Linked DNA regions of Bombyx mori. The main gene of each other region encodes a partner of the protein of the gene in region 3 in a complex. Links are inferred from orthologs where the notes say so. Each region holds a gene or a part of one and is shown on either strand. Other genes may lie near its edges.

Region 1 (10,767 bases), on a different chromosome or scaffold from region 3:
AAATACCATTAATGACTGATACGTATTTTATAAGTGAAACGCAACGTATCTATAATAGCCGGCAAACTTCTTGAGCATTTGTCGACGTAGTGGGGGTAAGTTCGCGCATGGTACACTCACGTGCAAAAACATTATTTATTCTGCGTCATAATGCTATTAAATTATTAATATCAACATAATTATTATGTATTTATTTATATATTTATTAAAACATCAACAAAAAATATAGGTTAATAATTGTAATAATTTGATCTTGGGGTAAAATAGATATTCCTTCTATTAAGTCAAAACTAGAGCTGTTGCCAGGTCTTCGTTCAGTTGAAGCGAAGCTGGTACTTGTAATTTTTTTTTCGTTATCATAATCTTGACCATCATCATCCTTCTCCTGTTTTAAAATGAAGCAATATACGTCGTACACAATTTTTCTACCCTTTCTTTTGATTACTACACCAGTTTGTCGCGGCATAGTGTATTTTTTATAAAAAATCAACAAACACTCAACATATAGAAATGGCAACAAAGTCAACAAGCAATTATAACAAATAACTTAACAATTAATAACGATAGACTTTTCACTGTACGCAAGCGTACTTTTGGGAGCAAGCGGAAAGAGGGCGCGGTGCGGGACGCAAGGTTCGACTGATCTACCAATAACGCGCTCGATACGATTTCCCCTGCCGTCGCGCCTCACCCTCACCACCAAAGTGATCTAAAATTCGGTTCTGCGCAGTCAAGGTCATTTGCTCAAGAAGTTTGCCGGTTACTATACTTAATTTAATTACTACTTAAATGACGGAGTATTGCTTGTGAAATGTCTATCCGATGATTTGCAAACGAAGTAAATTGCCCCTTCGTAATAAGGTGACATTTTACCAAACTTGTCATAACCTATGCAAGTGTAGGGTTCGCTCAAGCGGCCCGCACTAATTTGAAACCCTTTCAAGTCATTCAATCCTGATTTTGCAGGATAGCCGTCGGAGCACCATGGTTCATGAGGAACGTGGATCTCCATGATGATCTGGAGCTTGACTCCAACAATAGGTAGGTATCTTCAGTCGGCACCAGTGCCACTTTGAGAAGGCGGCGCGACACGAAAACCTTCATGTGGCCGCCGGAAATTACATACCCGATCCAATGGACCGAATGGTAAACAGTCAACGTCACCCTAATCACGTTATTACGGATCTTCCCGATCCATTAACGGTGCTTTTAGGTACCTCAAGCACCAGTCACCGTCCTCGCCGAACCCGTCGCTTGCGACGAAGGGCTCGACTAATAAATTAACCCATAGACACAGCCCACAGAGTTTCTCGCCGGATCTGCTCAGTGGGTCGCGTTTCCGATCTGGTGGTAGATTCTGGGAATTCGATTCGATTCTATCTGCATAGTTAAGAAAAAAAAGCTGTATTTTATCTGTCTCATCTTTCAAAGCGGAACGCTTGGTTGCTTCGTGGCAACCAAGTGGCAAATGTAGGCATTAAAGTGGTAACTGTCTTAATGGGCTTACAATACGTCCTACCAGTAAAACATTGTATTAAAGCGATTAGTTAAGTTGGAAATTTGAGTTCATTTCACATATTAGTGTTGCAATTCACTACCAACATTGTTTTATGAGCCAAATTCGACTGCAGCGCCATCTAGTTGCTAGTCCCGAAGATTTCTAGAGAAACAATGCGTGTCGTGAAAAATACCTAATATTTGTAATTGAACTATATGAATATAGTCTTTTACAAAAAAAAAAGTTTTGGTATTAGACGTGCTGTTCTAAATGAGTGAGCGGAGATCATTTGCGAGTGGGTGGTACTTATATGATGTGTATGCACTACGCTATCCTCAACACTAAAAGAGCCGTGAGCATTCGCATCTATAGAGCTGTAAAAATAAAATAAAACGAAAAGCACAGGACGGTGGTATCAGAAATGTACATGTTGATAATACGAGAAACTACCCGGTCCCGGAAGTCTTAGACAATGTTGCAATGTACTAATGTTAACGATCGTAAAAATTGTTCACAAACCTATGGGATCGACTTGCGGAACAGATTAAGTCACGTTGTCTTGCAGTATTTCAGGCTGAGTCCTGTGAACTCGCCCACGAGTTATAGGGAAGCCAGAATAAGCCAATGGCAGATAGGTAGACAAAAGCTAGGAGTTCGAGGACTTAACCTGAGAGAATTTGCTAGTGCTACCTCTATCAAGATCGGATCGGAATCGCGACCAAATGAGAAGGTCCGGCGAGAAACTCAGTGGGTTGTATCTGGGCTAATTCGCTCGTCGAACTCTTCGTCGTAATGATCGATTCCGACGAGGACGTTGCTTGAGGGGCCTAAAAGCACGGTGAGTGGATTCAGATGATTTAACAAGACATGTTTCGGGTGAGGACGTCTTTGCGTTGCCGTGTTATCGTGTCGGACTGCTTTGTCAAAGTAGTAGGGACCTTAAGACGTTATCAGTGTGCTTAGTGCGAGTTTTTTAACGTTCTCGATAGCGTAAAAGTGAAGCCGTGTGCAGTTGGAACAGCGCCCCTAGCGGCAAACGTACGCAAACGTTCCCGTTCCGTACAAATACGAGGTAACTTTTACGCTATCGAGAACGTTAAAAAACTCGCACTAAGCACACTGAGGTGATCACAGGCTATTACGTATGGAGGTAGAAATGTGAAAGAGATGATTCCGCGGATTGACTCACAAAACGTTAATAGAACATGTTACAATTAAATAAATAAATAGCGTGTTTTTGTACTTTTTCATAACTGTTAAAAGTTTACATACAAAGAACCAAGAGCATAATATATTATAATTTCAATATGTATAGAATGTTTTAGATACATTTTTGTCACGGTTGGATCATTATGCTTAGTAAGTTTCTTAACTTCTCGTGCCCCATACGTTTGCCGCTAGGGGCGCTGTTCCAGCTTCATACATATTTGAGTTAACTTTTACGCGGTCGAGAACTTTAGAAACTCGCACTGAGCTCACTGGTCAAGCCTCTAAGCGACTGCCGCAAATATACAAAATGACCAAATGTGTTGAAGCAACTTGAGTCACTGTTCGTTGATGATATTAAGTTAGAAACCATGCAAGAACTGAAAATTATACTATAATTTCAACATTTCAACACGTAAAAGACAAATACAAATTCCACTACAAAATATGAATCTCTTCTTCACACACTGAATGAGCCCACAAGTAAATTGAAGGTTACAAATTGCCCAGTCGATAAATATTTTGACTCAGCTTCATCAAACACGTTAAAATACATAAATAATTTAGAAAAAGTAAACTTCAAAAAAGTTGACTCAAATTTTATATTTCATACATATCTTTGACAATATGGTAGGTGAATTGTGGACGAAAGAATAAAAGGGTTTAGATTGTTTAATAAATTAAATTACAAGACCACACAGCAAAGATCACATCAGGCCTCGTTATAATAATCACACAGAAGTTCGGAATTATCATTTGCAATTTTTGCGTTCCCATACCCCGAACGTCTTACCGTACACAAAACCGTGATTATGGGTTTAAATAATGTACTACATTACGAGAACCAATACATTTAATTGGCCATGGCTGAAATAAAACAAATACATTGGCCCCCCTCCCTTCAGCCAGATGTCGCAAGTAAGCAAGCCGTGTGAAGTATCCGCACTGGATAACGAATTTGTTTTGGCGCCAAAATCACACGATCGTCCTTGCCTTGTACAAAACGAAAGTAAAACAACAGAAATAAACAGGGTTATATTAAAATCATAATATGAAAATATTCAAATATCAGCTGAAAATGCATCCAGCCTTCTTCTGTTTATTAAATATTCACTACATTACTTTATACATCACCAATTTCTTAAGTAAATTCAGTTTTTGTACAATATAAAAAGAATCTTATATTATCATCTATGTATACATACCTACACGCGAGATGTGTATAACGCGCTCGCGTAAGTTAATCTTGATCTAACCGAGCGAAAGAAAATAAACGAGAAATCGTAACAAAATATTTAGAATTATTGGTAAAATTATTACAAGTAACTACACTATATTTTATGTTCAACATTTTATGTCAATATTCAATTATTATCTATACTTAATCGAGCCTATGATATAACATTATAAATGATGAAAACATTTTTCTTCGTGATATTATTCAACAATTAATCCATTAACAACTCTCATCCATTCACTCTTGCCTATCGAAAGGATATTAAAACTAATCTCAGTAACAACATAAGGTCCGTATTAATGACAGTCTCTGATTTTTTCCCCTTTGGGTTTCCGGCCTCTTTTCTTGCCGGAAGTGACGCCGGCGAGCGCCATCGCGGCGCGCTTCGCGATACACGACTTGCAGAACCAGTCCTCCGTGGCGCCCGGCTCCTCCGTGATGCCCACGCACACCCAGTGGTACCAGCCATCGCATCCGTCGCAGCCGATCATCGGCGAACCGTTGTCCGGTCTGCCGCACGCCGGACAAACCCATATTTTGTTGCCCTGTTCATCAACATAATAAGGGGTAGGGAGGGGTTCGAGCTTAGTGTCGGGGGGCGGGGCGGGGGCGGGTGCCGGCGCCACGGCCGGTTCCTCAGACAACGTTGCGATTTCGTCTTCAAAGTGCTCGTGGCCCTTCTTCGCCAACGGCTTGAACAATATCCTTTTGTATTTCGAATGACTCGAGGGCGTGCCCTTCTCGGGCGGTGAGCTGCCCGAGGGGGGCGGCGAGGGCTGAGGCTCTCCGTCTGCGAGGTGATTGTGTTTAGAATGTTTTTGTTTGGGTGGTCTAGTAACGAGAGCCGAAATCTGAGCTAACTCAGGCGAACGACTGTGCTCCCTGGACAAAGGTTCGTCTTTTACTGGACTGTCCTCTTCTTCTTTCTTCACTACAGGTTTTATATTTAATTTGAAAGTATCGGGCGAGCTTGGTGGCATAGGTGAATTAGAATTTGAAGAACTTATTTTCAACGTCAATTTCGGAACAAGACCATCGCCAATTTTATCTTTTTTCTTCTCTTTCTTTTCTTTTTTTATTTTATCTTTTAATTCTTGTTTTTCTTCTTTATCGCGCTTTTTCTCAGACTTATCTTTGTTTTTGTCCTTTTTATCTTTCTTCTTTTTAATTTTTACACCATCTTTGTCTTTCTTTTCTTTTTTATGGGATTTATCCTTCTTTTTATCTGTGTTTTCGGTGTCTTTTTCTAGAATAGAATCCGGTGTAGCCATCCTGACGGGAGGCATTTCCCTTACCGGTTCAGATTCAGGATCAGGCTTGGAGATAGGCACACGTGGAGGTATTGGTGGCGTAGGTCCTACAGGCCTGGCTGGAGCAGACACACGAGCTTGATTGAGTGCATCCCGGGGTGGCTCATGATGTCTAATACCTTCTGATTTCGGAGGATTCAGTTCAATTGTTATGTCTGGTTGTACAAGAGGCATTTTGAACAAATTAGCCTTGTGATCCTTATGCGACTTAGACTTGTGTTTCTGTAATATATTTGGAATGGTCTGAGATTTGTGCTTATCGTGGCGGTCCTTTTCACGATTCATTGAAGACTTATGAATACCTCTGTCCTCATCATTTTCTACTGCTATTACCTCCAAACTCGGTCGACGGAGCATTGGTGGTATTTTAACGGAAGAAGATCTCGATGATTGGGCAAAATTTCCCATAGGCATCAGAGGAGAATTCAAGCCTCCAGGTAAGAAACTAGGACCAGGAATGAGACCAGGACCACTGGTTCCCAAAGCAAATGGATTGTTTAATAAATTACAGGGTGGCATACCTCTTAGTGCTGGATTGTTTGCTAGACCAGTGAAGAATTCACTTCCTGGTATCAATCCAGGGTTCGGGATGAGACCAGGGCCGGGCATAAGACCTCTTCCAGGTGGCATTGTATGAAAAAATGGAAAACCAGCTGGCATTTGTGGCAATTTTGATTCATTTTTCTGTCTACTGATTTTATGTTGTTTCATTCCAGCCAATTTCATACTTTGCTTTTCAGCTTGTGCCATTTCATAGGCTAATTGTTGTTGTTGCTTCTTCAACAATTTAGCTTCTAATTTTGCTGCTTTATCTTTCTTGTCTTTGTGTTTTTTCTCTTTTTTAACTTTAGGACTAACACTCGGTAGATCTTTGGGAAAAGGGGTTTGTAAGGACTTGTTGATTGATATATTAGGTTTAGATTCCAGTAGTTGTCTTTGCTGTGGTGTAGGGTTTCTGTCCAAAGAATCCTCATCAATATTAATCACTTCATTACTTCTTAAATCCATCACTTTAGACAAATCTACAGCACTATCGTCATTATTGTTCACAATTTGGTCTATCACTTCAGATTTCATTCTTGCATTTTCATTTGACTTATGAACTGAATTTTGATGTGATGCATTTTGCAACCTTGAAATAGTAGCATCAAGATTTACTTTATCATTTACAACCTCTGGAGTAGTCTTATCTTCTTTTGATTTGTTCGTTATTCTCTTAAATATATTAATCTTTGATTTATCAGGTTGAGAGGCCAATTTCTCATCTTCATCTAAAACTTCTCTCTTTATTTCAGTGTGAGGAATGAGAGAATTACTCATAGACTGCTGTTTAGGTGTGGTGATGGAATTAGATACTAGAGGAGATAATGAGATTGGAATTTTTCTAGGGACCGGTATTGCATCTTCAACAGAAAGCCTTCTGGATATTGGTGACGGAGGATCCAATGGTTCCTGTTTTATGACAGGTTTTACTGGCTCTGGAATAGGCACCAGTGCAGGAGGAGGTGCCATCTTTGCTCTTGAAGGAGGAGGTGGAGGGGCAGCTTCAGGCGCTGGCATAGTTATATGATTATGGTGTCTGGGCTGCACATCCTTACTTTTTACAGGATAACCAGGAGGAAATTTATTTAATTTATTACTGTCCTTATTTTTACCACTTTCACTCTTATGTTTATCTTTTCTTTTACTCTTCATAATTTTACCATTAGGTAATTTATTTTTCTTAGATTTCTTATCAACTTTTTCTAAAATTGGAGGTTTAGTTACATTTGTATGAGAATTAACTTTGTGCTTTTCAAAGTGCTTTTCTGCTATAATTGTAGGAGGACGGGCTTCGGGAAGTTTACCTTCACGGGCTGGTGACAGAAAACCAGACATGGTCATCATCACACTACTTATTTCTCTCGTTCTCTCCTCTTCCTCTAAGCGTAACCGTGGCCTTTTACTATTAGGTAAAGAAACAGGATCAATTGGTCTCTTAAAAATTTCCTTTGATTTCTCAGGACTGTCTGTGACAGATATTTCTGGACTTGTACATATGGTATTATTGCTAGTGACATTATCAATACCATTTTGATGTATTTCAATAGTGCCTGCAACAGCCGGTGTGTCTCTCTCTTTCTCTGGATACATAGGAGGCAGATGCTCATGCACGTGCATGGGCCTTGTGACAACTTCATGACTTCCTGGTTTTAAGAAGTTTAAGTTCGATTCTTTCGGTTTTGGGAATTTAACAGAGTTTACTGGAGGTGGAACAGGAGGTACACAACGCACATATTCAGCAAGCTCCGGCAAATTCACATTAAGGTCACGGAATACTAATCCTAAGTCATGTAAATTTGGTTCAGTCCTATTAAATTGTTCAGCATGCCTACTGGCTTGGATGCCAAGGGTTTTGATATATTTCTCCAGTACATGTACCAAAATGTCAAGTGGCGTTGAGTTTATGCCGTTCCATCCTATAGTTTGGCATATTTGCGCAACATTCCTCCGTAGTATCTCGCGGGCGTACGCCTCTGACATTATGACACCAACAACGTTATCTGGAACAAATGTTTATATCGGTATTATAAACATAAATCAGCATAATTCAAATGGCGTCGAAGCGAAGAAATGCTGTACAAGCATTTTCGATCACAGAGAATCATATTACAAGCCGTCAAAGTGGTAAAACAAGGAAACTCGTGATTTTTATACCTGCAAGTGTCCAGTAGTACAGAGACGTGGTTCTGAACTGCTGAAATTCTCAAGTTTTGTACATACATGTATGCTTAACTATGATTATATAAAGTCAAGGGTAATTTATAAAAACACACAAATCGATGGCAATATAAATTAACGAAGTGTTTACGTAAAAACTTCTCAGCATTCTAAAAACACAGTACCCCGTGCGCCATGATTGCATTTTGGGTTGTCAATGTCGAGTGTTGCTATTTGAAAATAAACAAATGGCGGTCTTCTTATGGCAGCGTTCAATGATACTAGTGATAGACTAAAATTGATTACAGGGAGCATTTGCTTTGCGACTTTATTCAAAGATGTTTTATTTATAGTTTCTTTTTAATTCATTTCCTTTCAATTAGTTTATTTTTGTTTAAATCAAATAAATAATTAAAAAAAAATTAAGCTACCGTAATCCTCATAATCGGTTAAGCTTGGGTGATCTTTAACACAGATATTCCAGATTTCAAACTATTCAACATGGGCGTGCCGGATAGTCTCGTGCTCATCATACGGGACTTCTTGTCAAACCGCTCTTTTCGATATCGAGTCGAGGGAACCCGCTCCTCCCCACGACCTCTCACAGCTGGAGTCCCGCAAGGCTCTGTCCTCTCACCCCTCCTATTTAGCTTATTCGTCAACGATATTCCCCGGTCGCCGCCGACCCATTTAGCTTTATTCGCCGACGACACGACTGTTTACTATTCTAGTAGAAATAAGTCCCTAATCGCAAAGAAGCTTCAGAGCGCAGCCCTAGCCCTAGTACAGTGGTTCCGAAAATGGCGCATAGACATCAACCCAGCGAAAAGTACAGCGGTGCTATTTCAGAGGGGAAGCTCCACACGGATTTCCTCCCGGATTAGGAGGAGGAATCTCACACCCCCGATTACTCTCTTTAGACAACCCATACCCTGGGCCAGGAAGGTCAAGTACCTGGGCGTTACCCTGGATGCATCGATGACATTCCGCCCGCATATAAAATCAGTCCGTGACCGTGCCGCGTTTATTCTCGGTAGACTCTACCCCATGATCTGTAAGCGGAGTAAAATGTCCCTTCGGAACAAGGTGACACTTTACAAAACTTGCATAAGGCCCGTCATGACTTACGCGAGTGTGGTGTTCGCTCACGCGGCCCGCACACACATAGACACCCTCCAATCCCTACAATCCCGCTTTTGCAGGTTAGCTGTCGGGGCTCCGTGGTTCGTGAGGAACGTTGACCTACACGACGACCTGGGCCTCGAATCAATTCGGAAATACATGAAGTCAGCGTCGGAACGATACTTCGATAAGGCTATGCGTCATGATAATCGCCTTATCGTAGCCGCCGTTGACTACTCCCCGAATCCTGATCATGCAGGAGCCAGTCACCGTCGACGCCCTAGACACGTCCTTACGGATCCATCAGATCCAATAACCTTTGCATTAGATGCCTTCAGCTCTAATACTAGGGGCAGGCTTAGGGACCCCGGTAACCGTACTCGTCGAACTCGACAAAGAGGTCGACGTGCAACCTAACCCATGCATCAGCCCGCTGAGTTTCTCGCCGGATCTTCTCAGCGGGTCGCGATTCCGATCCGGTAGTAGATTCATTCGCGAAACAATTGCTCTTGAGTTGTTAGGTCTCCTTCGGAGGCGCTCGGGCAGTTGTTAGCAAATCCCACCCCTCTTGGCTGAACCTTTGCTCGCCCACCTGTCCTGGTGAAACTGGAAAGGCCTTCGGGCCACCAGTAAACTTTCAATCATAAAAAAAAAAAAAGATATTCCAGAAAACTAATGTCTCTTCTTTTTCTTGCCCTTATTCCACATTATATGAGGTCAGCGCAGTGTGTCCTTTTATTATGCTGTATAGGGATTTGGCATGAGTTTTACGATGCTGGAAACGCTATTGTTATGTCAACGACAGCATAGTATTCCCAACATAGTCAGAAGAAGTCCGAAATTTGTCTTTTATGACACCCACGGATAGATATGGGTCGATCCAACTCTATGTCGGAAACCGATATTGAAAGATAATTTTGATTACATGCATGTTTAATGTATAGTTAATTATGGAAACATTGATGGGGATTGGTGGTGACCTTCAGACAACATCTACAACGTAAATGCCACCACCCACCTTGAGATATGAGTTCTCAGATCTCAGTATAGTAAAGTATAGTTACAACAGTTGCCACATTCTTCGAACGCCGAACCAAAACGCATTACTGCTTCACGGCAGAAATAGGCAGGGTGGTGGTACCTGCCCGTGTAGACTCACAAGGGGTCCTACCATCAGTAATTGCGCAAATTATAGTTTTGCGGGATTTGATTTTTATTACACGATGTTATTCCTTCACCGTGGAAGTCAATCGTGAAAATTTCTTATGTACGTATTTCATTAGAAAAATTGGTACACGCCTGTGGGATTCGAACATCGGTACATCGCTCAACACGAATGCACCGGACGTCTTATCCTTTAGGCCACGACGACTCAAACGATTTAAAAACGATCATGCGTTTAATGATTGCAAAAATTGTGGTCAACACGATCTAAATGAACGTCTATTGACTGCATAACGTCTGTACAGAGGTCTCTGTTGTAGCGGCCAAACGATGTTGAACCAGTGCTGTAAATTTTCTTTGAATCGAAATAAAAAAAGAGAACAGCAGTTTGTCAAATCTAGACATGTTAATGGTCGTAAAATTTGTATTAGAATGCTTGGTTGAATTATTTTCAATGTTTCTTCGTCTTGATACGCACCTTAATTAAAACAATATACTACGATAGACAGTACATGCTTTAGAGGAGAAAT
Region 2 (11,063 bases), on a different chromosome or scaffold from region 3:
TTTTGTAGTTTACCTGAATATTTGACAGAATTGGATTTAGCTGCTTTGATTTTATAGGCCTCATTTGGTTTGTTCAGTGACACGCGGGACGGGTTGCGCGTGACGTGCGCGCCCGTGGCGGGCGGGCGCGTGGTATCGGCGGCGGGCGAGGGGCGGGCCGCCTTCGCCGCCCACACGCGCGCGCTCGCCTACGACTGCGAGCTCGACGCCGTGCTCGACAGCGTCGTCGGCAACTGCAAGGACTGCTTCATATCGCTGCGAGGTCAGTTGTCATTCTCATTATTCAGCACCAATCAGTGCGCTCAGTGCAAGTTTTTAACGTTCTCGATAGCGACAGCGCCCCTAGTGGCAAACGTAGGTAAACGTTCCAACTCCATAAAATTTGAGTTAACTTTTACGCTATCGATAACATTAAAAAACTCGTACTAAGCACATTGATATCTTCCGTTACATCTATTTGTTTCTTGAAAATAAGTTTGTATATCTGATACAGTTAAGAGATAAATTGGTACGTAATAAATTTAAAAGACGTTGTTTATTTATGATTAATACACTAAACTTTATTAAATACTAGCTTTTGCCCGCGACTTCGTTCGCGTGGAATAGTTACTTTGGCATAACGCTAAATTTTACCTCCCACTTCATTTACGTAAAAAGTGAAAATATTTTTGAATTATAGAATATTAAGGAGCTATTTAAACCCCTATTTTGAAACATTCTTTATTGGTACTCCACTTGTATTGTCTTACCGTTAGCCTATAGCCTTCCTGAATAAATGAGCTATGTAACACTGAAAGAATTTTTCAAATCGGACCAGTAGTTCCTGAGATTAGCGCGTTCAATCAAACAAACTCTTCAGCTTTAAAATATTAGTATAGACAATACGTCAATGACGTCTTGTGGCGTTCCATTCTAGAAGGCCTTGGTCATAATTGACTGAAACGGATTACTATAATTGCAATTTAAATTAATTGATATTTATGTATTTCAGGTATATCGGACTATCGCGACGGCACCCGTGGGAAGGACTGGCAGCCCCACGCTGCACTATGCGCTGCTGCAGTCATGAAAGCCATAATCTGCGCAATAGACCCACCTCCTTCTGAATAATTTTCTTATCAAACGACTAGAAATCACAAAATGAATTACCACACAATATCTTACGCTATATTCTAAATAACGTGTTCAAAGTTATTCTCAAGATATAGATGAAAGAAATCTTAAACTTATTTAAAATTAACTCGTTATTAAATACATACCTTCAACAATTATTTATTTACAATTTTCAGTCTTATGTTAAATATTTTAGAACACAGATAACAAAAAAATGTGCTTGATACAGATTTACTAAAGCCACCTCTATAACAACAAATGTTTCTTTGTAAATTTGTTCTCTAGGCATTTCTAAATTGTTGATGTGATTTTAAGTGAAATTGAATATATATTTTTTTTTTTATTGCATATACGAGTGGACGAGCTCACAGCCCACCTGATGTTAAGTGGTTACTGGAACCCATAGACATCTACAACGTAAATGCGCCACCCACCTTGAGATATAAGTTCTAAGGTCTCAGTATAGTTACAATATATGATAGGTAGTTCAGAGATTTGTTATAGTACCATCAGGGTACAACAGGTGGCGCACGGGTAGTTTCAACAGATGATAGATCACTGCCAAGGGAGTTTCAGTTGGGTTTAATAATTGAAGGTTCTTAATTACAATTGTATTGTGTGGTCAATATATTTACGTGAATGCTTTATAGCACAGCACACTATAGCACTGAAACTTGACATTGATATGATAAGTTGATAAAAATAATTAATTTAAAACATATATGGAAGTACAAGTATGGAGAAACTATAGTTGCCTTGGATGTCTGCCATAAGATGAATCACATCAAGTGATAATAATAAGCTAAAATATATATCCTGATGTCATAGATAAAATATATTTACTAGATGTACATGTTTACTATAATATTTACATGCAGATTATAGGCAGACTTGTTGAGATTTTTTTGTAAAAGAAACAGAGAAAAATACTGGTGATTTACCAACAGATTGCTGTTCCAATCCATTCAACTAATTTTACGCTCAAAAGTAATGTCTTCCTGTTCTAATTTCTTTAGATCGGCAAAGAAAGTTCACGATGAAATTGATATTATGTAACTTTTACAAATTAAGATTGCAATGTCATTCCATTTAATGATATTTAAACAATAATTTATCAGCCCGAGCTTAGAAAGTATCTTAGGTTAATAAATTTAGAACTAACCTATTTATATTGTACTAACTGCCATAGACGGCCTATTTATAATATGAAATGTTTAAAATCTGTTATGAAAAAAACCAAAGTATGGACTTTTGATGTTTTATTGAACATCAAGTCTAGTCGCCTCTATTGTGAAACATTGTTAAAATATTTATTACAACCTACTTGGTGGAACATTGTATTTTTAAAATTAATATGTTTATAGATTGTTGACAAAAAAAACTTCATATAATATCAAGTTATTATTGTACCTACCAACATATTATAGACAAATATTAACCTAAAAGGATGTATGTAAAATTGTTATTTTATTTAATCATTAGAATAATAATATATTGCATAAATTTAATACAGAAAATTTAATTTTTTAAATTTTCTTTGCCACTAACTTTAATTTCTAGTATTGTTTATTTAGTGTTTACTGTATTTGCGCACAAATAAAGTTTACATATTAATCAAGTATGATTTTCTTTCAATTTGAATTTTTTTGTTAAAGAACTTAGAACAGTCCCTGTACATGATAATATATATTAGTTCCTTTTTTTAATCAGGGCCTAATCAAGGTCTTACACGTCATCTGGTCCAAAAGTAAGTTTTCCCGAACAGTATTAACAAATAAAAAATAAGGGTTGATCGTAGAGGGGTGAAAATTTAGGGTTGTATGTATTTTTGTATGCTGTATCATAAAAAAAATTGTCTAAAAAATAAATATTTTTTTTTAGATAAGTCATAGAGCAAAAAACACAATCTTTTTTATTTTATTATTATATTTAACAAACATTACTAAATATTCTAATACTACTCTGAAGAAAAACAAACAAGGATATTTGTCAGTAAGTTTTATTACTTATTACCTTACTAGCTTAATAAATTCATAATATCAAATAGTTAATTCATTTTTCATTTCACTGCTCTCCAAAGTCCCAAATTGGTATTACTTTTATCAGGTCCAATTATGTTTTTGGTATTCATTCTGAAATTTTAAATGCATAATTAGCCTATTACTCAATTTATTAACAATAAATTACTCCCCCACCAACAAACCTTGTTGGTGGAAACAAATTTGCAATTATTTAACATACAATTTTGAACACAACACATATATTTCCCATTAGCAACACAAATACTATTATGCTACAATTGCTAATCCTGTTGTTTTCTCTTAAAAAACATTCTACAGATAGTAGTGCTTTAATTTCTTTATCAAGCCAAACAGTTTTATGTGATATATCTAGGGTTAGAGTACCTATAAAGTAGTACAAGATGTAAATATTAGACATTCATTTCATTAGTACACAAATTCTCATATCCTAACATGCTAACTGTTCAAGCTGCTATCTCTTGCCAAAACACAACTTTCAAATACCAAAGTGCAAAAGTAACACATAAATTAACAATAAACAATAAAAATGCTTATGCAATATGAATTTCTAAACGTGAAAACATACGTGAAATTAATTATTATTGTTAAACAGATTATTTGCAATTTTTTTTTTGATAGCGGCATTGCATGGATGTCTTCCAGCTTCACCAAGATAAGGCAGGCCAGGTTGGACTTAGGCAGGAGGGGCAAGATTTGGAGATCAGTCAGGAGTAGGTTGATCCCCAGGAGCTTACCTACCAAATTGCAGCAATAAGTTATGGTCTGATTTTGTGCCAATGAAGCATCATTTGCAGGAAGAATTGCTTTCATTCAAAGAAAACAGCAGCTCAAGTGCATTGAGAAAATGTGAATGAAGCAACATGGCATTGATTGGTTCCGTCGCTCCACAGATGCGAAAGATGAAAACCTATTGTTCGATGAGGATTCATATCAAACATAAGATCAGCTTGTTTCGATATTAAGGGTTGCAAGCCAAGATTGGGCATATCCACTAGTGGGTAACACTTGATTCCCTTTAGAAGTGAAGCCAAATGATGTTGAACATTGTCTTTTCATCTGTGAACGACTACTCCAACAGTACAAAAGAAAGGGTTTTGCAATGATGAAACACACGGGGAGGAAAAGGACTAATGATAGACTCCCCGTTAATGTTTCTACATCATTGCCACTGCCAAATATTCAGCTTACGAAGGTTATACTGTGTATTTGGTGCAATCAGGTTGGCATTATATATTAAGAGCTGTGGAGCTGAACAAAACCTCCACTGAAGAATGATATAGAATATAATTAATGCAGTGAAGCTTAATGCAATGCTTACACTGCATGAAAAATGCCCACAAAATGAGCAGAGACACAAGAAAGTGATGCTCCTGCATGATAATATTAAGCTCCACAGTCCCAAATATTTTGCTGTTCGATTATTCTTTGTTCCATTTGATGGTATCTACTTGGCTGGTTGTTCCATTCATATACAGATATCAAACAATAGCTTAGTTTCATTCATAGATAATCTCAAAAATGACACTTCTATTTACCAAGGAGGTATTTGAACTTTGCCACAAAGATGAGAAAAATTGTGGCTAGTAATAGAAAATACTTTCATGATTCATTTGTGAGATTTTTTTTTAATAAAAATGCATATTCATTAAGAAAAATAGAATTTAGTTTTCACAATCAGATTCACATGCTACAATTTGGGCAAATACTACTTAACAGAACATTCTATAATATCGTTTGCACAAGGTCTTCTAACTCTATTACTATAATGATAACCTTATTGTTTATAATACACTGGTGATCACAATAAAATTTAAAAAAGTAGGTACTAAATATTATATATTTGATAGTAAATAAATATTATATTATATAGTATAATTTACCATACATTTAAAGTAATCAAAACAAATTACAGATACATCTACATTCAGGATCTTATTAAATTTACAACCATTCATGACATTAGTGTTGTTGTGAATGTGCAAACACAAAAGCAGTGTTATAATTAAATATATGTTACTTGCATCAATCAGTCTAGAAGCATGGCGTCGGTTGTATGGCCACAGTATGGTTACTGTTGGTCCTCTATAATTTCAAAACATTTCAATACAAACATTAATAATCACACTTTAGATGAAACATCTCAAACTGAAACACTACAATGATAGTAATATAGAATTGGATTTTTTAATGGGAATAAATTCACTCAAATTTTACAATCAAATGTACAACTCACCAACATATTTTACTTCATCAAAAGCTTTTCTAGCTTTCTTAAGTTCCTCATTCATTGTAAGAAGGTCTTTAACACGTGCATACTTTCGTGCATCTTTACGAACTAAGAAAATTATGTCTTCTACTTGGACTCTTCCTGTTCTACCAACTTCCATTGCCCTGTTATATATATTTTTAGTATTGTACTATTTAAATCTAGGATTGCATGAGTTCATGAGTCCACCTGGTGTGATGTGGTATACGGAGTGAAACACAAACATGAATATAAAGAAGAATAAAAATATTGAAGTTTTCTCAAGACACAAAAAAGTTTTTTTTTTATCTTACCTATGTGTTGTTTCTGTTATAAATTCAATAACTAAGTCTTCTAAAAAATCGACACTTTCAGTATACGGGTTTTGATCATCACCAAATCCATACATCATACATCTCAATTCCTTACTAAAAAGTCTTTTACGACCAGATGTAGTTCCACCTAACTGTTGCTCTTCTTCTTCATCAAACTACAAAGCAATACTTTTATGTACACAAAAGAACAAAAAAATAAACAAGCAACGGAAAATCAATAGTTTTACCTGGTCAAAGTTATCTTGCGAATCAGGAGTGGGAGTGGCCATGATATTGATTTACTAAAGTTTTTTTGTAAAACTTAAAACGTTTATTTGTAGAAATTTTACATAAATAAATAGTCAGTAGTGGTAGTAGTTTTGTTGTGGATTTTAAAACAAACGAGTTAAAGTAAAACAATGAACATCTTTTATTTTATGGAGAATGACATTGACATAGAGTTTTTTTAAGGGATTTTATGACCTGGTAACTGAGACCTTTAAGTCATGAAACAAAATGAAAAAAATGCTCTAGCAAAATATGCTAATATATATGATTTGCTAGTGGAGCCATGTGGCATTTTCAATAGCCAAGAGCGCCCATATCTTGCTGCATCTCCTGATGGTGTGTTGGGCGAAGAAGCTATAATTGAAGTGAAATGTCCATACGCTAGCAGAAAACATGAAATAAATATATCAACGGTGCCTTACTTAGAACGATGTAACGGGATATTGTCTCTAAAAAATCCTGCCCATACTATTATCAAATCCAAGGACAGTTATACTGCTCAGGCAAAACATACTGCAACTTGGTCATTTACACCTACAAGGACATCAAAGTGATTTATGTTGAAAAAGACAATAATTTTATAAATAATATGTTAAATAAATTAGATATCTTTTATGAAAATATTTTCAAAGAAGCATTGTATAAAAAATATCTGTATTATAACTATACACACTTGTCGAAATAAAAAATCAGGAATATTTTTAATTATTTTTATTGACAATTCCTTCTCTAAAGTTACATAAGTAACTTCTCTACTTTTTGTTTCTTCAGAAACTGGTTTCATATTCCATGAAAATATAGATGGTACAGCACCTTTCTTCAGATATTTATGTTAATGTTTGACACCTGCAACACAAAGAATAACATTTAAATATACTATCACAAGGAAAGCTGACCATAGTTTCAAAATATTTGTTATTGCAATGGATGCAGCGATTTAGATAGAACTTTCAATAGTAACAGCTGATAATGAACAACAGCTCATGAGGAATGTGTTTCCTCCAGTCTGATTTTGTGTTTGTTATAAGGTTCCTTACAGCATGAATCTACTTATTATTATTGGATTTTTTTAATAAGAGAACAATGATGTGTGCTACACCTAGTCATGCATTATATATATTTGACAGAAAGAAGCATACCTGTGTATTTACTAATGTTTTCATAGTCAGATTCCACAAAGTGTTTACGACATAACCTCGAACTTTCTGTATGAATACTTTTTTCGCGTCAAATGGCCTTTAACCACAGTCTTCCAATTTTCTTGTCCTTCGGGAATTGATGTACTCCAATTTCTGAGCATATTGGTACAAAACAACGCGTCATTGTGCTTAAAATAATTTTTAATCAAAAATTCCAATACAAATATTGAATGTTATGGGAACAATGCACACCAGCGCCACTTTGACAGTTGCCAACCCCATTGTGACGTCTACCTTGACGATTTTTCTAATATTTATGGAAACTTTAAACAATTTTAACTCGTAAACCGTGAGCCGTGAGTTAAGCCGGTCATAATGAATCCAATGACGTGAGTAAGACATTTTACTAGTTTCATTAATTTACTGCACCATGTTTAAAATGTGGGGTTCCGTTTGAAATTGAACACAAGTGATATTATGAAGATGAGTGATGTGAGGAAAAACAAACGAAACTTTTTGCTGTTGTCATTTTATTCAGTCCTCATTATAATCTAATGGATCAGACACCTAGTGTACTTCTATTGAACTACATATTATTATATGAATTTTCAAACCTTGCAGGAATTTTCAAATTTTTCTAAGGAAATCCATATTAACACATATTCATGAATGTTTTTCACAATGAAGGAATAACATCATGTAATGAAAATCATATCCACAAACTTGAGGTGTGGTTTTGTCAGACTGTACATGTAGGTTCCACAACCATGGGTATTTTTACTGCGAAGCTAGCTCTAGTTGAAAGGGTACATCAGTTGTTTTACTAAAAACTGAAGCCATGATTGAGATAGTCGACTCACTGTTCTCATCACAATGAGACAACAACTTAACACCAGTTGGGCTAGCTATGCTGATGTCCATGAGCAATGGTAACCACTTGCCATCAGATGGGTTATATGCTGTCGGTCTACAAAGGCAATAAAAAAAACTTTCATTTGTTAATCAGCAAATAATATATAAAAAAATTGGCCATATTCCATTGAGTGTTTAATTTTTTACAGAAATGTGAAGAATGTTTTAAAGCTTAGTGAACATGAATTAGGAAGCAGCTCAAAAACTTCTTGGCATGATCAATATAAGGACAGTGCATGGATATTTGTTGGTGGACTTCCATATGATTTGACTGAAGGAGATGTTATATGTGTATTTTCTCAGTAAGGTTTTTCACATTCATTATTACTTGCTGAAATAAAATATATATTTTTTATAGGGAGCTAGTTAATTATGTTTCTTAGATATATAGATATTCAGATATTGCATGAAGCCAATGGACATTTGTCAGTCACTGACCTAGATCTGAGTGTAATAATCATTCTACCAACAGCTATTACTAAGTAATGATCAATTTTTTATTTTATGAAAGGTATGGTGAAATTGTAAATATAAACATGGTAAGAGATAAAACAACTGGGAAACCAAAAGGATTTGCATTTTTGTGCTATGAGGATCAGAGATCAACAATTTTAGCAGTTGACAATCTGAATAGTATTAAGGTAAATATTAAAAGAGAGAATACTACTAAAAAAGAAAGTGAAAAACAGTTTATTATTATGGTGCATCATATGCATTTTATTTTTGTAGTTATGTAGACGTCATGCCCTAAAGGATAAGACATCCTGTGCATTCGTATATAGCAATGCAACAGTGTTCGAATCCTGCAGGCGGGTACCAATTTTTCTAATGAAATACGTACATAACAATTGTTTACGATTGACTTCCACGGTGAAGGAATAACATCGTGTAATAAAAATCAAACCTGCAAAATTATAATTTGCGTAATTACTGGTGGTAGGACCTCTTGTGAGTCCGCACGGGTAGGTACCACCGCCCCGCCTATTTCTGCCGTGAAGCAGTAATGCGTTTCGGTTTGAAGGGTGGGCCAGCCGTTGTAACTATACTGAGACCTTAGAACTTATACCTCAAGGTGTGTGGCGCATTTACGTTGTAGATGTCTATGGGTTCCAGTAACCACTTAACACCCGGTGGGCTGTGAGCTCGTCCACACATCTAGGCAATAAAAAAAATTAAAAAAGTAAAAAAATATTAATTGTTTTGCTATAGATTCTTGGGCGTACATTACGTGTTGATCATTGTGAACAGTATAAGGTTCCAAATGCAGACATGAGCAAAATTGATGAAGTCACAGCTGCAATAAGGATGGAAGGATGTGCTCCAGTTGCCCCAAAAATTGAAATCGTGAAAAAGGTAATAAATACTATAAATCATCACTAATATGCAAAGAAAACACACACACGCACACACGCACACACACACACACACACACACACACACACACACACCACACACACACCACACACACAGAGACACACTTCTGTAATTTTTCTTCGTTTCTCATGCTCTAATCTAGCAAGTTATTCTAATCATCTGTTATTAATTTCCATGATATTGGAATGAACTCACTTCCCATGCCTTACGAGGGGCTCAGAAAAGTGACAGACTATATTGTCATTTGGTGACCATATTGTCTACAATACTGTTGTCTTCGGATTTATGCCTGTTTTTCTTTTGCAGGAAAATGTAAAAGAAGGGAAAGTAAAGAAAAAGAAAAGCAAAGAGAAAAAGAGCAAAAAAAAGAAGAAAAAAATTAAAGGTTCAGGCACTACTTCTAGTGAATGAAAATGTAGAGCGTTCTTTTGATTTAGCTTTTTTATTATAAAATAAACTGGATCGCAAACTGGACGCAAATCATGATTCCTATGGTTTCTGTTGAATTTAAAACAATATATGCAATGAAAAGGTAATCATATAATTTTTCTTGTTTTATGTCTTGTGAGTAAACAAGGAATATAAAACACTTATAATACATTCTTACAGTTTATTATTTCCAAGATTTTCCTCAAAATGTATAATATTATGAAAAACTTTACAGAATAAAATTAAATATAGTAAAATCACAGGGTGGGTTAAAGCTCTACATACATACAATCTATGATTAATACTTTATGACATGGGAAGCCTTCATTTACTGTTTGTTACTGTGTGTAGGTAAGTCTCTATTTTAACACAGACCAATAATACGAATATCGATAACATATCCACACTTTGACGTTCATGAGACTTCTCATATAAAACTAGATGCAGTGAGACAAATGGATATTTCCACAAAGAGATCAATAAATTATTATTTAATAAGTGAAAAAAAAACCTCACAAATAACTACATCGATTGACACAACAGATATCTTTAAAATTTGATGCCATAATAAAAATTTACCTTTAAACATTTTAAATTTCATCCATTTTATACCTATTATGTTGACAGCTTATATCTAAAGAAAATTGGAATATAGGTTCTATTCTTAAGCTGTTGTACATAAATTTATAAAAAAATCCGATACACTATGGGGGCTTTTAGTATTCAAAATGTGAATTGATTATATATATTTTGTCTTTATTACAAAAACAGGCTGATAACATTAAAAATTATTTAAAAATTTTATTTACAAACGTATCATCAATTTTTTATTCACATATTGGGTACATATCCAATATTTTTGACTTTGTTATATTACAAAAACAAATACATTTTGAAACCTTGGATTATTTACCTTTTAATTGATACAAGGGCTTGTTAACAGTAATTTTTCTTGAACAGATAACTGTGGCAGATACAAACATGTACTGATTAGCTACTTGTGTTCAGTTATTCTTTACAAAAATGACTACTATTTTTAACACATTAATAACCTATCTGGCAAAAAAAGTCCTTATTTTGTAGGTGTACTATATTTACTAAAAGACTTAAAATGTAGGAATTTATTATTTTTGGCAGTCTTGGTACGTTGTTGCTTGCCACTGAATATGTGGTTTGTATTAATGAACGTTCCTATCAATCCTAATTA
Region 3 (10,779 bases):
CCAACTCTGGGCGGGTCTCCCAACTACTAGTTGCTTTCATTTAACTCCTTGCAAAAGACGGCCGTTTGGATTGTCTTTTTTTTTTTTCCTACCTAAGCTGGTAGCCTAGAGAGGCTATTCCAGCGTAACCTTAACTAGTAGGTGAGCTCACGGGGCTCAAGCCTGTTGACGATGCTAACACGAACCCTAGCAAGAGTCGTGCTTCGCAGAATCTACCACCGGATCGGAATCGCGACCCACTGAGAAGATCCGGCGAGAAACTCAGTGGGCTCTGTCTGAGGGTTAATTTACTCGTCGAGCCCTTCGTCGCAAGCGACGGGTTCGACGAGAACGGTGACGGGTGCTTGAAGTACCTAGAAGCACCGTTAGTGGATCAGGAGGATCCGAGATGACGTGTTTTGGGCGACGTCGACTGTTTTCCATTCTGTCCGCTGGATCGGGAATGTAGTTACCGGCGGCCACGATGAGAGGGTTCTCGTGTCGTGCCGCTTTATCGAAGTGGTTGGATTGTCGATAATCTCATCACGTTCTCATGGATAATTTAGAACCTTGGAGTTTGAACTACGAAGGGACTTCGGTTCTCTTTGTTTTGTAACATGATCCATGGGGAGTTCTCTGGGGAATTGCTAAAGGTAGTTTGCCGAATGCCACACAATCTCGACTCTTATCCGTTCAATTATCAGATATCCGTTTTCAGAGATCATTTTTATCACGTAGTATTAGTAGGTAGGGTCGACTTTGAAATTCCCTCCGCGGTATTTTCCGGGCGCTATATGTCTTTTTTTGTTTGAAAATAATCTTATGTGGCAGGCAACGGTTCAGCTATGCGTTACTGATGCATATATGTGTATCGGTAAGCACCCCCATTAGGCAGAGTGTATGCTCGTCTACCTCCTAACGCAATAAAAATATTTGCGTCTGTTCTAGAATATTTGTTTACGAAGATCATCTACTTAATTACCTATCTAACCCGTTATCTACAACAAATCAATTAACTAAACAAAAAACCCGACTGTATCAAAAATACTAATTAAAATGCGAAAGATATACACTAAAATATTAGTAAAAAAAAATCTGATTTAATTTATACACAAATATTTTTTTACGATTTATCAACGTTGATGTTTCCTTATTGTTTCCATAATGATCTATGGAATACTATGGATGGATATAATAATCCTTTAGGTATGTTCGGTTCGAAGGTATTATTCTCATATATTAATGAAGAACGAAGAGAAAAAACAATCAATGTACTTATAAATGAGTCGTCTATTATCAAAGGTGGCAATCTGTGCATTTGGACAAAAAAATGTTATTGATATGTCAATACAGATTGATTTGAATATAATCGTCTCCTTCAAAGAATACGGTTCAAAACCTGCATTAAATAAAGGTTAATACTTAACCTGTTATTTATCTAAGATGTCGTTCAGAAGAGTTTTGTGACTGCCAATGGAATACAAAGTCAATAATTCGTTTTTCTGATTTACCAATAATTTTCCAAAAGTCACATTGCCGGCTTTGCTATTAGTCGACTCAAATATACTTGAATTTTAAAACAAATTTAAATTACTATCTAAATAATTAATCTATCCACCAGATTTATTTCTCTCTGGACTGGATGTTAATGCACTTTCTTGATTTTCAGATTGTGAAATATTTGCATTATCATTGTCAGCGCCATTTTCGCCTTCATTGTCTGATTGATCTGAAAAAGGATATAGATTATATAAAGTTCTAAATCCACTATAAATTCAAACTAATTATAAACAACAAATTCAATTTGAGAATACTTCAAACTTGTGACTATTGGGCCGAGCATATTTTACACACTGGATTGTAATTTAATGTTTTACTAGAGGTCCCGCAGTAGTCGAAATTCGACTATAATTAATTGGAATTGTATGTTTGTACAATATTATGATTGTATTTTATACTTCTATAATCACAAATTTCGCCAAGGTTACACTATAAAAAAAAATTATAAAGACAAACAATATTTAATCTATTCTCAATTTGACCACAGACGTCAAGAACAAAAGTTTGACAATAAATAGTATGCAGTGCGTCAAATACATGATATTATTATGTAGTGTGTGTAATGTTTTCTTTATTGATTTAATGTATCTTTTATGCATTATTTTAAAAAAATATTAGCATTGTGCACTTCTTCTCTATATTCTGTATAAGTGTGGAAAATTTCATACTCCTCCGTCCAGGCAATTTTCGTAAAAAGGGATACAAAGTTTTTGCTTCACATATTAATATATAGATTATACCTTTTTTATCAGCAGGCAAGTCTTCAGTTCTGTTAGCGACTTGAAAATGATATTCTAATTCATCAAAATCAAAGACTTGGTCCGTTGGTAAAAGACAGGGCAAATAAGCTGGAAACGTAGGCTTACAGGCGATTACTGAAACATGTGAGATTAATCACATTATGTATAGATTTTGATTAACTTCAATATAGATTTTAATTTTTTTTATACATTTCAGCTTCAGTTTAAGGTGATACCATACTCACAATTATGAAATAAAAGAACTTCTACTAAAATTCTTCATAAAATACTGTTTTCTACTATATAAAGTACAAGGCCCCCTAGTGTTAAGTGGTTACCAAAATCTCTAAAGATCACAATGTGAATGCCACCCACTCTTTGAGACATAAGGTTGAAATCTCGATAATATATTTTTAATAACTGTTCTATCGTTCAAACCAAAACACATCACCCCTTCTTGTCAGAAAAAGGATGCATGGTAGTAGCTGCCTATGTGTTGCATTTTTTTATAAATGTTATTCTTTTATCCTGGAAGAAGTTTTATGAACATATATTACACATGCATTTCTTTTTATCACATGAGTGACATGGTCATGAGATGTTAACAGTCTATTAATATCTCTATAAAGAGAAATATTCCTAATACAAAATGAAAGGAGTTTATTCATACATGGAAAAACCTGATTGTCTTCTGTATTAAATAAATTATGGGTTTCACTTGTCTTTGCTAAGAATTTAGTCAAAGCACGTTCAATGTCTCTTTTTTGGGTTGCTGCCTTCTCTCGAATGGCTTCATATTCAGTTACTGGTTGCTTGTGAGTCTGTAATTAAAAAAAAAACAACGAATTAGTTCGATTTAGAAGTCACAAACTTTATTTATTCAAGAATATACATATTGGCAGAAGGTTTTTTGCTTCATAAAAAATGATAAACATCAAAACTGATCACAATGAAGTCATCGTGGCCTAAAGGATAAGAAGTCCGGTGCATTAGTATCCAGTAATGCACTGGTGTTCAAAGCACGCTGGCAAGTACAAATTTTTCTAATGAAATACATACTAAACAAATGTTCTCAATTGACTTCCACTGTGAAAGAATAACATCGTGTAATAAAAATGAAACCCGTAAAATTATAATTCGCGTAATTATGGTGGTAGGACCTCTTGTGAGTCCGCACAGGTAGGTACCACCATCCTGCCTACTTCTGGCGTGAAGCAGTAATGTATTTTGGTTGGAAGAGTGGGGTACCCGTTGTAACTATACTGAGACCTTGGAACTCATATCTCAAGGTGGGTGACAGCATTTACGTTGTAGATGTCTATGGGCTCCGGTAACCACTTAACACCAGATGGGCGAAAATGTCGTCCACAAACCTAAGCAATAAAAAAAACATAAAAAACTTTTAATTTCTATTTTGCTGCAAAATACTAAGCATCACCTCAAAAGTCCCCAATGATTTATTTAATCATTTTGTTTTATATCCTTCGCTTTGTATTTTGATTAAAACTAAACAAAAAATCATTCAACTACCTACTTATTATTTAGTATAACATTTGTGGTTAAAGGTTTATACTCACAGGTGTTCTGATGTATGCATGTGGATCTGGTAATGGAGGCAAATGAAAAGGTATATGTGGTGCTGGTTTAGCTTTAGAGCCAGCTGACAACATAGCTGGGGTGCGAGGTGCAGGAGCTTGCTGAGGAGGTTGAATTACATGCCGATTTGGACGAGCAGCATATTGTTCAATACCCTGTAAGCTTATACCTAAAAAAAAAATTGATGATTAACAAGCACTCAGTAAAGTTTCTCATTTTTTATTAATCTATTCATAACCATGAAAACTAACATTTATGAATATTACTATTCAGAGAAAAAATTTGGAAACTTCATCACTTTTTTATTTACAAATGAGTCGTCTATTATCAAAGGTGGCAATCTGTGCATTTGGACAATTTTTTTTTATTGATATGTCAATACAGATTGATTTGAATATAATCGTCTCCTTCAAAGAATACGGTTCAAAACCTGCATTAAATAAAGGTTAATAGTTAACCTGTTATTTATCTAAGATGTCGTTCCGAAGAGTTTTGTGACTGCCGATGGAATACAAAGTCAATAATTCGTTTTTCTGATTTACCAATCATTGTCCAAAAGTCAGATTGCCGCCTTTGATAATAGACGACTCAAATATAACAGGTTTCCTTTCCCATTTTCAAATATAAAATGCAAATACTGAACTTTATAAATAAAGTTTATATTATAAAAATTATAAATAAAGTTTTGTTTTATTTATACCCATGTTAATAAGTGCCATTACAACATCACCCAACACTGGCTCCACCCGTCCAGATAGCTCACAAAATCCTTTCGCCGAATTCCCAACTTCTGCAAAAACTAAAACAATCCATTAATATAACAGTGTAATTGGTATTATATTTTACATAAAAATAAATTATGTTTTTGAACTTTGCTCCTAGCAGTGAATGAGCTAGTTAACATAAGCATATTGATTTTTTTAATAAATGCACCACAATATCTATTAAGTAAATTCACTTTGTTTGCAAATTCCAATTTCCTGGTATGAAGTTCTTGTAATGAGTAGTAAATTTTTATTTCTGTGAAATATGTACCTGATTTGTTACTTTAAAGAAAATTTCTGGTCTTTTATTGGTGGAAATATATAAATACAATTATATAAATACACTTGGCACTAAACTGTAATGAAAAAGACGTCTATTGGTAAAACGTTATTTTAAGATATTGTTTTACGTACAACATTGAAGCATTTCAGTCAAAGTTTCCAACGAAACTTTATCAGCAGCATCGAAACCGGTCTCCAATAATACCGTAGAAACTGCAATGTTTAAGATACGTCGACGAGCATCAGATGTAGTTTCAGTTTTTTCTGACATCTCGGACATTTTACTGCTCTTTAGATAATTTTAATTGGCTTATCGAACTATGTACTACTTTTTTTACTGTAATTATCTCATAAATAATACACTTAATGTAATTATAATATTATTTGCTTTACTTCGCTTCGTCAACAAAACATATCCATAAACTTTTTTTTTTGGTACAATTTTTCCTTATTATGTAAGGCAAGGGGATCTAAGCCCATACTCCTTAGTAGTTTAATTTTTACAAATGGAAAGGCAAAGAAATAACACCAACCGGCCTAATCTTTTTTTTATGAATTATGAAATGAAATGAAGCTGACTAATTTAATATGAAAGATGTCATGCCATTCCATCTCTGACATGAAATGAATTGAAATGAGGTGAGATGATATGATATGGGATATTTTTATGAAAAATGATAATATGGAGTGAAATGAAATGAAGAATTTGAGACATTAATCAACTGGGATGAAATTAAATGAAATGAGATGAGATCATATGGGATGAAATATAATCTCAGTAAAATGGTGGTCGTTTACTGAGATTTTTTCAGTGGGCTTTTTGGAGGATCCCAAGAAGTTATGTACAACGGTTTTGTTTCATTTTCCCACATTTGTGCACTTTCACAGATAATAAGCAGTTAATAAACCACCGTTATTACACATTTAAAATTGAAGAAACACTAAATAGACAAAATAAAACAAATCGCACAACTTGACACCTCTCGTTCCCGCCAAAAAGTCCCTACCTATCCATAAACTTTTTTTGGTACAATTTTTCTTTATTAGAAAAGGCAAGGGGATCTAAGCCCATAGCGCCTTGTCTGTTCTATCAAGTTGTATCATCCTTATCTATTCAACAAGTATATTATCTATGATAGAGTTCTTTGTTTTAATTGTTCATAAGACAGGCAAAGAGGTTTAAAGCCTTTAATTAAATAAACACAAAATTCACAAAAAAAGAAATATGAAATGGCACAAGTGTGAAGTTGTAAAGTCATCGTGGCCTAAAGGATAAGACGTCCAGTGCATTCAACGGCGGATCCAGCTTTGGCGCCAGGAGGGGGTCACATAGTCGTGGTCAAGTCAAGAACTTATAATTTAATTTTGATAACAATAGATACAAGTAAAAAGTAGGTATTTTAATAATGTTCGTAAATAGGTGGTACGACTAGGGTTTCCAACAAACAAAATAGAAACAAACAAAATACATATATTTAAATAACAAAATCAATTTTTCTTTAACGTCTTTTATGTCTTCTTCGTATTCGTCTATGACTGCTCTCGTCTCTACTTCCGAATCCGAAGTGATTAAAGGGATTAAATCACTAAAAATAGAGAAAAGTCCAGGCCCCGACAGGATCACCAACGAAACCATAAAGCTCGGATGCGCGTATCTAGCAAAACCACTAACTCGACTATTTAATCAGATACTGAACAGCTCGTATACACCTCGTCAATGGTCAGAGTCTGATATCATCTTACTGTACAAAAAAGGAGACCCTAATAATATAAGTAATTACAGACCGATAAGCTTACTACCTTCACTATATAAACTGTTCTCTTCAATAATAGAGAAAAAAATAAAAGAAAGCACAGAGAAATACCAACCCATCGAACAGGCAGGCTTCAGAAGAGGCTTTTCAACACTGGACCACGTATATACACTCGCTAGAAATGCTGATAGAAAAATACCAAGAGTTCAACAGACCACTCTACATTGTCTTTATCGATTACCAAAAAGCATTTGATTCTCTGCTCCACTCATCTATATGGGAAACTCTGCTCTCTCAACAAGTACCACTAGATTACATAAAAGTCCTAAAAAATATTTACGACAACAGCACTAGCAGAGTGAAGCTGGAAACTACAGGGCCACCCATACAAATAAGAAAAGGCGTACGACAGGGAGACCCACTCTCGCCGACCATCTTCATAGCGGTGCTAGAGTCCATCATTGGCAAGTTAAACTGGGAAAGAGTTGGCATAAATATAAATGGATGTTACTTGAGCCATTTGAGATTTGCCGACGACATAGCCCTGCTATCAGAAAGTATTAACCAACTGCAAATAATGATAAACACTCTACATGAAGAAAGTCGTAAAGTAGGCTTGGAGATCAATCTAACAAAAACCAATATCATGACGAACCATATCGAAAGACCGATATATCTTGAAAATTCTTCTTTAGCATATGTCGGTGCTTACATTTATCTGGGTAAGCAAGTTTCATTCAACCAACAAAATAATGAATTGGAAGTGGAGAGAAGGATCAACAACACATGGAAAAAGTTCTGGAGTCTCAAAGAAATACTCAAAAGCGATATGACCATACGGATGAAAACGAAAGTCATGAACACCTGCCTACTACCCTCATTAACATACGCCTGTCAAACATGGAAATTTACCAGAAAAGTAAAAAATAAAATTATATCCTGTCAAAGGAGCATGGAAAGAAGCATCTTGAAAATTAAGAAAATCCAAAGGATCCGCCATACGACTATAAGACAGAAAACAAAAGCCATCGACGCTCTCAGCTATTCACAAAAGCTGGAATGGCGTTGGGCTGGACATGTAGCGAGGCTCAGCGACAACCGCTGGACCGCAAAGACAACATCATGGCGTGGTCCACTAGGACAGAGGAAAAGAGGTAGACCAATTACACGATGGGCAGATGACATCATAAAAGTAGCAGGTGTACAATGGCCGCGAGTGGCAGAGAATAGAGAGTACTGGTCATCTCTGGAGGAGGCCTTCACCTTTCATTGAGAGGGTTCTTGCTAACATAAATAAACCCTGACTAATTTAACCAATTAAATCATTATTTAGTACTTTTCAATGTAAAAATTATTCCAAATGTTATGTATATTATTTCTTAAAATAAGAACACAATTCAATACTTCTTATCACTCATAACATGTACATAATCAAAAAATCATAATCAAGATTAAATTAAAAATTATTTCGTTTTTATTTAAAATATTGGATAATAAATTTAAAAATGTGAATGATTTTGCAGGCATATTAATAGTGTAAATTTTTTTTGGTATGAAAAGCAAGAAATAAAAGGCTTTTTTATTTTTTTATTTTTATTTTATTTTTTATTTATGTCTTCTTAGGTCTAGCTAGACGTTACGTAGTCGAAAAGCGCGCGCAAGTGTGACGCGGTAAAATTCAAATTTTCGTTCGTTCCCAAACCTTGGCTATCATACAAAGTGATTACATTAAATAAATTAAATATTGAAGGTATGACAAAATATATAAATAAAATCATGAATCAAAAAAATATGTTCAATTAGTGGTCCACCTAAGTCCTGAAACCAGCTCGGGGGGGGAGGGGGGTCATGACCCCTATGATCCTCCCCCGCCCTGGATCCGCCGTTGGGTGCATTCGTATCTAGCGATGCAACGGTGCTCGAATCCCGCAGGCGAGTACCAATTTTTCTAATGGTATACGTACTTAACAAATGTTCACGGTTGACTTCCACGGTGAAGGAATAACATCGTGTAGTAAAAATCAAACCCAAAAATTTATTATTTGCATAATTACTGATGGTAGGACCTCTTGTGAGTCCGTTCGGGTAGGTACCACCACCTTGCCTATTTCTGTCGTGAAGCAATAATGCGTTTCGGTTTGAAAGGTAGGGCAGCCGTTGTAACCCTAATACTGAGACCGTAGAACTTATATCTTAAGGTGAGTACGTTGTATGGGCTCCAGTAATCACTCAACACCAGGTGGGCTGTAAGCTCGTCCAGACATCCAAACAATAAAAAAAAATTGTTTCTCCCATATTCCGGCACCCAAATTCATAAAATGAAAAATCAGCGGCTCCCTTTCAGCGGACGCCTTTTTTTACGTCAGGATGGTATTCCTTGCTTCTATCCTCTATATAAAAAAATAGAGTTTTAAATAATAAGTGTAGGTTCTATGTATGGAGGGTAGAACTAGTTCTATGGAGCAGAGAAATTAGTGTATTAAATATCAGGCATTTTGGCGGGAACGTGAGCAGTGAAGTTGTGTGATTTGTTTTATTTTGTCTATTTATATCATATCTCATCTCATTTCAATTCATTTAATTTAATTTCATTTTATGCCATGCCATGCCATGCCATGTTTCATTTTAATCAGCTTCATTTCATTTTATAATATTATATTTCATAAAAAGAAATATATATAAAAGATTAGGCCTGTATGGTGTGATACCTTTGCCTTTCCATTTGGAAAATAAAACTGCTACTACTATCTTATGATATGAGGAAAAAATTATAAAGGACTTGGCTTCGTTTTTCGGACTTCGCTTTCATTAAAATGAAATTTTTATTTCAGGATATAATATAAATCATATAAGAGCTGTCTTTGGCTTTGTTGAAAATTTATTTCAGAAAATATACAGAACAGACAAGGCAGTATGTGCTTAGATCCCCTTGCCTTTCCTAATAAGGAAAATTGTACCAAAAAATATATCTATGATAACAGAAGCGAAGGTTATTGCTCCCTGTTTGATTAGAGAAATTCGAATTTTTGTCGCTTAATAAAAATGTTCCATAAAGTAGCATTGGGAGTTTCTGGAGGAGTTGATAGTGCAGTTGCAGCGCTTTTACTTAAACGAGCTGGTGAGAGAGCTGTCAAGAAATTAAACAAAAATAAACAACAGGCCGAAACTGTTATCAGCATATTTTTTTCAAGGGTATCAGGTGGAAGGCGTATTCATGAGAAACTGGGACAGCAATTACGAAGCGGGTTATTGTTCTGATGAAAACGATTTTGCAGACGCTACGTTTGTCTGTCGTAAGCTAAATATTCCGTTACACCGAGTATATTTCATCAAAGAATACTGGAATGAAGTATTCACTGTGTTACTACAAGAATATCAAACGGGATTCACTCCAAACCCTGACATTCTATGCAACAGATACATAAAATTTGATAGTTTTTATCAACATTGCAGGAACAATTTAGGTATTGATGTGATAGCAACTGGACATTATGCAAACACATCTTTTGGACCCTTTCTGGAGTACTACAATAAGACGGAAGGTTGTTTAACTTTTAAATTTTACAATAATTTGAAGTAAACTATACTTCATTACAATTCTTAATCTTTGCAGATGTTAAATTATTACAACCAAAGGATAAATTCAAAGATCAAACCTTTTTTCTGTCACAAGTAAAACAATACTCCTTAAAAAGATGTATGTTTCCTCTTGCCAATTTATTAAAAACTGAAGTGAGAGAAATTGCTAAAAAGGAAGGTCTTCTAAATGTAGCGAATAAAAAAGATAGCACAGGAATATGCTTCATAGGTAAAAAAAAGTTTCAAGATTTTATTGCAGAAGTAAGTTTAGTTTTTACATAATTTAACAGACTTGAAAATAATTGAAAAAATATATATTTTCCTGTCAAGAGCTGATTTAGAAATGTATATTTTTTTGGCTTTTACTTCTATAGCTTAAGTACGTAGCTGCCTGCTTCTGGCAATCCATGTTTTTAAAAGGGTTATGTCATGGTTCTTGGAAAAGTAATAGAAATAAATCTTAAAAAAGGGTTATGAATTAACTGTAGTTTCTGTATTGATGCACGTTGACTAATCTGGTATGGA

What was found.
Region 1: transcription initiation factor TFIID subunit 8 (region 3) and transcription initiation factor TFIID subunit 3 share a complex: the UniProt entries of both Homo sapiens proteins name them as parts of the TFIID basal transcription factor complex. The link is inferred for Bombyx mori from reciprocal best matches to the Homo sapiens genes TAF8 and TAF3.
Region 2: transcription initiation factor TFIID subunit 8 (region 3) and Taf13 share a complex: the UniProt entries of both Homo sapiens proteins name them as parts of the TFIID basal transcription factor complex. The link is inferred for Bombyx mori from reciprocal best matches to the Homo sapiens genes TAF8 and TAF13.

The regions. Positions count from the first base shown.
Region 1 is NC_085113.1:3,411,812-3,422,578, forward strand, and holds transcription initiation factor TFIID subunit 3, read right to left. Parts: upstream 8,235-10,767; 5' UTR 7,949-8,234; intron 7,795-7,948; 5' UTR 7,775-7,794; coding exon 4,238-7,774; 3' UTR 3,293-4,237; downstream 1-3,292. UniProt on the Homo sapiens protein: The TFIID basal transcription factor complex plays a major role in the initiation of RNA polymerase II (Pol II)-dependent transcription.
Region 2 is NC_085115.1:8,089,618-8,100,680, reverse strand, and holds Taf13 (TBP-associated factor 13), read right to left. Parts: upstream 6,133-11,063; 5' UTR 6,005-6,132; coding exon 5,963-6,004; intron 5,891-5,962; coding exon 5,715-5,890; intron 5,547-5,714; coding exon 5,389-5,546; coding exon of another isoform or gene 5,372-5,388; exon of another isoform or gene 5,238-5,371; coding exon 5,224-5,237; 3' UTR 5,177-5,223; exon of another isoform or gene 3,246-5,176; coding exon of another isoform or gene 3,241-3,245; 3' UTR 3,097-3,240; downstream 1-3,096. Other genes in the region: uncharacterized protein LOC101745370, read left to right, coding at 78-262, 992-1,110. UniProt on the Homo sapiens protein: The TFIID basal transcription factor complex plays a major role in the initiation of RNA polymerase II (Pol II)-dependent transcription.
Region 3 is NC_085124.1:7,743,285-7,754,063, reverse strand, and holds transcription initiation factor TFIID subunit 8, read right to left. Parts: upstream 5,374-10,779; 5' UTR 5,202-5,373; coding exon 5,054-5,201; intron 4,675-5,053; coding exon 4,576-4,674; intron 4,045-4,575; coding exon 3,857-4,044; intron 3,101-3,856; coding exon 2,950-3,100; intron 2,415-2,949; coding exon 2,280-2,414; intron 1,709-2,279; coding exon 1,590-1,708; 3' UTR 1,058-1,589; downstream 1-1,057. Other genes in the region: mitochondrial tRNA-specific 2-thiouridylase 1, read left to right, coding at 9,718-9,793, 9,867-10,217, 10,289-10,515. UniProt on the Homo sapiens protein: The TFIID basal transcription factor complex plays a major role in the initiation of RNA polymerase II (Pol II)-dependent transcription.